2 linked regions of the Yarrowia lipolytica genome follow. The protein of the gene in region 1 interacts with the protein of each later gene in a pairwise test. Links are inferred from orthologs where the notes say so. Each region holds a gene or a part of one and is shown in the gene's direction. Other genes may lie near its edges.

Region 1 (3,445 bases):
GGGGTTGTAAGTCTTTCCATGGAGAGGCGACTCTGATTCCAGCGACATGAGAAATTGGGGACCGGTATTCGACAGTAAGGGTTAGCTCCGGCTTTGTAGAGTACTTTAAGGATGATAGCATTGTCCGGAGTGATGTTGTTGATCTTGGAAGACACGGAAAAGTGGCAGGTTCGGCCTTTGAAGCCCACCATCTCCTTGACGGACACGGGAAGTCCATGTAGAGGACCCACGGGCTTTCCTGTGGATTTTAGATAGTCATCAAGTTTCTGAGCAGTTTCCAGTGCCTCTCGAGGAAGCAGCTCCGTCAGGCAGTTTGTGAGAGTCTGGGCAATAACAGCAGCTCTTAGGAACGCTCCTGCGACAGCCACAGCCGATACCTTGGCCTTAGCAAGCTGATCGAGCAGCTCGATTGGGTCCGAATTGATGATAGCTGCATCGTCATGGGCCAGCATCTCCTGGAACACGGGGATGGAGTTCTTGGGCAACTTTGCGGGAACTTCATGATGTCTCGAGTCCTCGGGTGGAGGAAACACTTTGTCCAGCTCTGCAATGGAATCGTCTCTGATCTTGAGGAACTTCTCTCTAGCAATTTCGAATGTGAGAACCATGGTGAAGGTTGCAATCAGGTTTTGTCGACGATAGTTGGCCAACACCGTCGATGCCACTCCAAGGCATTATATATTGGCTTTTGTTATCATACGGTATCTCCGCACTCGAGCCGCAGCGGGAGTTTAATATGCGACGCGCAAGGTGGGGGAAGACTAGAGGGTGGAGCGGCTTGGAACTCATATGAAGAGTTGAAACAGATAAGGAACGTTTAAATACCCCGTTACGCAACGGCTGCTTTTCATCCTATGTGGGTTTTCGGTCGATAATTGCCTACAATTGCTCTCTTCTTCTCGGAGGGGTGCTCTCATTCAGGAAACTTTCCACGCCCTTATCAGCCTACATGCGTCTGACACCCCCGCTCAACGAAAACGATATGTACGTAGATCCATGTTCCCCGGAGTTTAGATATAGGTGTTGCAGTGAATTTAGGGGGTGTGATATACAGGTATAAAAGGTGCCACCGCCCCCACCCCTGCTCCTATCCCCAGTACATACAGCTTCTCTGAGACTATATCAACTTCCATGTTCAATTAAATCGCCAATTATACTTCGGTAAATGTCTCAAGTAATTACTTAACAAATGACTCTCAAACTGCCTTCTTTTGTTATTCTTTCACAGCAAAGTTATAATTAAATGAATGTATATGCAGAAAAAAAAAAAAAAACTTTTGTCAGACGACAAACACATATAGAGACAATACTAGTCATGGGATGAGTTCGTTACCAGTCTGCAACACTTCCTGCTGTCTCATTTTTCAATCCGTAGGCGATAATACAAAATTCCAAGAAATTCCATCTATTTCCACCATTGCCACCCATGCAGGTCAGGCATCAAAACTCTGATCAGTTAGCGAGGGGAGATATTTGGGTGTTGGTATCGAAGCCTTCCGTAGTTCAAATCTGGTAATTGGCAACTTCAAAACGTCCATGCGACTCCTTAGACTTGATTCAAGTTTTCACCCACTCAATAGGATTCATATTAACGTATTTATTGACACTACCTTCTCCTTCCGGGTCACGTGCCATGAACCCAAAAAATATATTTTCAAAATTAGACTGCGATAAATCCAAGTTTTCCAGACAACTACAACACACACAATGTCTTCCGAATTCCAAGAACTAATCGAATTTCTGCACTCCGACCACCCTGCCGTCAAGCAGGTTGCTCTACAGTCCCTCGTGGGCTACTCACAGGGCCATGCCGAGCAGTTCAAGGCCAACGACTACCAGGGAGTCAAGGATCTGGTGGCCACCGTCATGCTGGGCACCCCCAGAGTCAATGTGGAGAACGCTCTGACCATTCTCATCAACCTATGCGATGACAGAGACATTCTCGACATGCTGGCGTCCAACTCCATGTTCGTAGCCATGATTGCCTGCGAGATTTGCGATCTCGAGAACAAGCAGGCCGATCTGTGCTGTATGCTGCTAGCCAACCTGGCCAAGGACGACCACATTGTGTCCATCTTCGACGCCACCAAGAAGCTCAAGAACACGGAGGTGTTCAAGTCGGAAAAGCTCATCGATTCGCTCATGGACTGCTTTGTCAAGGGCGCTACCGGCAAGCTCAACCTCTTCTCCAACTTCGACTACCTGGCCTTTTTCTTTGCCGATCTGTCGCGATTCCGACGAGGTCGAGACTACTTTGTCACTGAGCAGCCCTACGATGGTCTGTTCCCCATCCAGAAGCTGCTGCCCTTCACCGAGTTTGTGGACTCGCGAATCCGACGAGAAGGTGTTGCTTCTACAATCAAAAACTCGCTGTTTGACACCGACAAGCACTCCAAGTTTGTGCTTGACCCCGAAATCAACCTGCTGCCCTTCATCATGCTGCCCCTGGCGGGCCCTGAGGACCTAGAGGACCCCGAAGAGATCTTTGATCTGCCCGAAGAGCTGCAGCTGCTGACGCCCGACAAGCGACGAGAGGAGGATCTCGACATCATGTGCACTCATCTGGAGTCTCTGCTGCTGCTGACCACTTCGCGGGAGATGCGAGAGTACATGCGAACCAAATCCGTCTACCCTATTGTTCGAGAGCTGCATAAGAACCACGACGACCAGACCATCCAGGAGCGATGCGACCGAGTTGTGCAGATGCTCATGCGGGACGAGCCCAAGGAGGCTGGAGATGATGCCAAGGTGAAGGAGGTTGACTCTGATGATGAGGTTGTCGAGGTGATTTAATCATAAACGAAGCGAGTGATAATTGCCCGGAACACGAGCGGGGCGAATGGTCTGTTCGGAGGTTTTACATCTAATCATGTCACCAGATGGCGCAGATCGAACAGTTGTCCGCACCTCTGGTCCCACAATACACATCAACTGGAGCCAGGGCTCATATGTATAGAAGCAGTTAATGAAATGTATTTGTATGAATAATTGAGAGATGATAGAATGATGTGATTGTGGATAGTGGTTGGTGTTTCTGTGTGTCATCATTGCGCAGAGTGGAGTGTAATAATTACTACTGTATGACCATCGAGGAAGCTGCAGCGGTATATTCAATTAGTTGACTTCACTCAACAAACAACTGAACTAGACTAACAGAACAAGCACCACAAGTGTCGGCCAAACAGTGCCACTTTTTTTTACTAGAACCAAATTTGAAAAGAGCAGTATATTTTCCGCTGTCAAATTAATCATTTCCTATTATCTTCCAGCGACAATTTATTAGCGAAACCTGATTGTATCCAGCACTCCAACTACCCTACAAACCCTCGTGCATCGCGAACTCAATTAATACACGTCTGCCGAAATTACAGTAATCAAGTGCTAAAAAATCACGTCCAACACGACACATCACAGCACACACTAATATTACACAACATGAGTGAAG
Region 2 (3,837 bases), about 300 kb from region 1:
ACAAGCGCTAAAAGAGGTTCCCCTATCTCCTGAGTTGGTAGATTAGTGAGAGTTCATCAAGTGGTGGTGAAGCGTTCAATGTGACGGCGCGTTGAGTGACGGGAGAGTGAGAGCACCGGCCGAGTTGCGCCAAGCTCGTACCCTCGCGTGTCAACCGGATCAAACCTCCCCATGATGCCCTAGTCTCGCACCGGACGGGACTACGATACTCCTTCTCCGGATCCAGCCACACCAAAGATTGTCCAAGGGGCTCGAATCGTATGTACAAGACGAGTGCAAGTACGAGGGTTCATCTTCGAGACAATCTCTGTGCAAATCCAACCTAAAGCTGTGAAGGGGGTGAAGGAGATGAGGTGAAGGAGAGGACGGCTACGAGAGGACGGCTACGAGAGGACGGCTACGAGAGGACGGCTACGAGAGGACGGCTACGAGAGGACGGCTACGAGATCAGCCCAGAAAGATCTATCCTACATCGACCTCCCTCGCAATCACCCCTCAAACTCCACCTACTCCCCAACTCTGATGGCGATCGGCACGTGTCTCCCTCCACTTGTGAAGAACATTCTGAAGCGACCCTGCAGCTAAAGCAGCCAGAGACAATCCACAAGTACATGATGGACGCGTCCAACTCCCTCCCAAAAACGCCTCTGCTGGCCCACATTCCTCAACCCAGCTCCACAAGTATCCTACATGTGCTGCAACGCCAGATGTATCATGTATCCGCGACACATGTTCACTGCAAACTCTGCATGCTGGACCCAAGATTCGCGCTCATTGTGTGTCCAGGGGTCGTGTCGATCAGAAGCCTGTCAGGGACCCCTGAGGGAGCGGCGAGCAGCGAGCGGCGAGAGACAACGGGCGACACGATACATACTCGAACTGGCACTGTTGGCATACTCGGACTGGAACTGTTGGCATACTCGGACTGGAACTGTTGCCTTCACCGCCCAACCGAACCTCCGCCGTTTTTCGCTTGTTTCACCCATCCTCAACCCTAACCCACAACCTCCTGTTTGGCGGTTGCCTCTTTGGGAATCGCACACAAACAGACTGCCAAACAAAAGCGTCGACGACCCGACGGCCGGGTAATGTCTTTTTAAAATTTTCACACCTCCCAAATTTACCCTACCCGATTAACCTTTTTCACCCAGTTACCCTACCGACAACCACTATATAGGCGGGTGCACCACCCGTGATTTCTACCTCCCCAACAACGGAGGTCGACATCGACGTACATGGCTCTTGCCTTTTACCAGAGCCATCCGGGTGTCGTCTCTACAAGTTGTTTTTCTAGTTTTTGGAAACTTCTTCTTATGGAGACAAGTGCGACTTACTCTTGGTGGATTCGTTCTCTTTTTAGGGACTTCATTGTTGCTGGCGACTTGGTCGTGGGTACCAAGGAATTCCTACGGAGGGAATGTTTACGGTTGTATATCAATAGTGAATGATGACGGTTGTATTAATTTTAGACGTTGACGGGTATTTTTATTAGAACTTTTGGTGGCACTGCGGATGTTTATTGATTTTTTTTTATTTTTTATTTTTTATTTTTTACTTTTTTATTTATTTTCGCAACTTGAGCTTTTGGAGTAATGAGGGGATATGAGTAGTAACCTAAATGCTCTGAATGGCCGAAGCAAAAACGAGCACTCCTCCTGTACTATATATATATTATACTCATTTTTTTTATATTTATTTTTTTTTTATATTTTTAAAAAAAGTTTTTTTTTTATTTCATTTATTTCATTTTTTTTATTACAATTTTTATTTCATTTTTATTTTATTTTATTTTTTATTTTTATTTTTATTTTTATTTTATTTTTTTTCATTTTTATTTCATTCTTATTCCATTTATTTCATTTCTTATTTCATTTATTCCATTTATTTCATTTATATTTTTATTTCTTTCATTTTTTATTTAATATTTCTATTTATATATTTTATTTTCCGTCGAATTCTGAACAAAACCCAAACCCCTTTTTACTTTCTACCAGCCGATTCTGGATTCTCCCATGCGATAAGATTCAAACATGCATATCTTGTAAAAATTGTGTAGGAATTCTGATCTCAACCAACACGGTGCCAAAATGCCCCCCAAAAGCTCCCAGATTGAAGAAATCATTGACGACGCCCCGGGGTCGCCCACAGCCACACCTCCGGCGGTCGAAAGCACGCGGGAAAGCCGCCCGCCCGCAGGATGGGACACCCACCGGTACGCCCCAGGACCCAATGACCCCAAACTGCCGCCGCAATTATCCGAGTACTCGACGGCGACGACCGACGAGTTTCTCAAGAACATGAACAAGGTGCCGTTTTTCATGCGGGAGCTCGACGAGAGCGGCGAGGACGGCGGAGCCAACGACCACCTGGAGGCTCTCAAGGCTCTGGCGTACGAAGGCGAGCCCGACGAGGTGGCCACCAACTTCAAGAACCAGGGCAACGAAGCGTACAAGGAGAAGCGGTACGGCGACGCGCTGCAGTTCTACGACAAGGCGCTGGAGGTCAAGTGTGGAGTGGTGGCCATTGACACCGCCTGCTACATCAACAAGGCGGCGTGCAATCTGGAGCTCCGCAACTACCGACGATGCATCAACGACTGCAAGGCGGCGCTGATTCTGGATCCCAAGAACCAGAAGGCCATTTTCCGGTCGTGCACGGCATTTTTGGCGGTCGGGCGGGCCCAGGAAGCCCTCGAGCTGTGCGACTACGCAAAGTCTTGCGAGGTGTTCAATGATGCCATGAAAAACATTGAAACTGCCGCCAAAAAGAAGCTGGCCGACAACATTGCTCGGGAAAAGCGAGAGCTCGCACGAAAGGAGATTGCCGAGGCTACAGAGAAGAATCTGGAGCTCGCCATCAAGGTGCGAAAGATCCTGCAAATCACCACCAAGGCGCCTCCTGCTCTGCCTGACGGCGTTTCCATCCATCTCGAGGACCCTCTGGACCCCACCTCCACTCTTCTTGTGCCTGTGTTGCTGCTGTATCCCTGTGATCTTCAGTCAGACTTTCTGGCCGAGGTCGATATCGGCTCCACTCCGGGCCAGGCGCTCAACACCGTGTTTGAGCATCCGCCCATGTGGTTCTCCGGCGACCACGTGGCCCAGTACGACGTCAAGAACCTCGAGGTGTTTGTGCAGACTGAGTCTGGAGGTCTGGTCAAGATTGGAAAGAAGGTGTCGTTTGAGAGCGTGCTGTCTGCGCCCAAGCCAAAGGTGCCGCTCATTGACAATGTCATCACTCTGCATTGCGTGCCTAAGGAGAAGCGGGAGCAGTGGCTGAAGACGTGGAGCAAGGACAAGGCTCAGAAGGAGATGATTTAGGTGGAGCGAGCGGTGTCTCGGCAGAGACTCGACAGAGACTCGACAGAGGAGAGCGATATCTCCACAGAGGAAAGCGATATCTCCACAGAGGAAGCGATATTCGAACGACACTGGATCTGCTCATGCAAAGGACCCGTCTAACGGCAGACCGGCTCAATGGCAGACGTGACATGTTACAGGGTAGCACTGGAAGGATAGGTATATAGAGCAAATGGAAGGAGTGCTATTAACGCCGACCCCATCTTGTAGACAGTTGCCGGAGATGGAACAATCCACCTGGTGAAACAGACTATGGAAAACGCGACTCCATTGCCACAAGTAGTGCACGAGAATCGCCAGGCTCTTCTTGACTACAGTCTGTGGGATAGGTAGCCTCTGGTTGCGGTTTCAGGAGTGTAGAGAAGTGGTCGGACTCTCCAACCAGCAGTTTGAGATTCAGTCATTCCAGTTTCTCTTCAGACATGTCACGAACGAAAGCCCGGTTCCCTCTCTTGGACCTTGGACTCTTGGACTCTTG

The links.
Region 2: the proteins of YALI1_F10671g (region 1) and YALI1_F13719g interact in binary tests that used the Saccharomyces cerevisiae proteins (3 or more experiments, as listed by UniProt). The link is inferred for Yarrowia lipolytica from reciprocal best matches to the Saccharomyces cerevisiae genes HGH1 and CNS1.

Annotation. Positions count from the first base shown.
Region 1 is NC_090775.1:1,065,444-1,068,888, forward strand, and holds YALI1_F10671g (uncharacterized protein), read left to right. Parts: upstream 1-1,707; coding exon 1,708-2,793; downstream 2,794-3,445. Other genes in the region: YALI1_F10660g (uncharacterized protein), read right to left, coding at 1-608; YALI1_F10688g (uncharacterized protein), read left to right, coding at 3,436-3,445.
Region 2 is NC_090775.1:1,369,871-1,373,707, forward strand, and holds YALI1_F13719g (uncharacterized protein), read left to right. Parts: upstream 1-2,087; coding exon 2,088-3,320; downstream 3,321-3,837. UniProt on the Saccharomyces cerevisiae protein: Co-chaperone that binds to the molecular chaperones Hsp90 (HSC82 and HSP82) and Hsp70 (SSA1). Stimulates SSA1 ATPase activity, but not Hsp90 ATPase activity. Involved in only a subset of Hsp90 functions.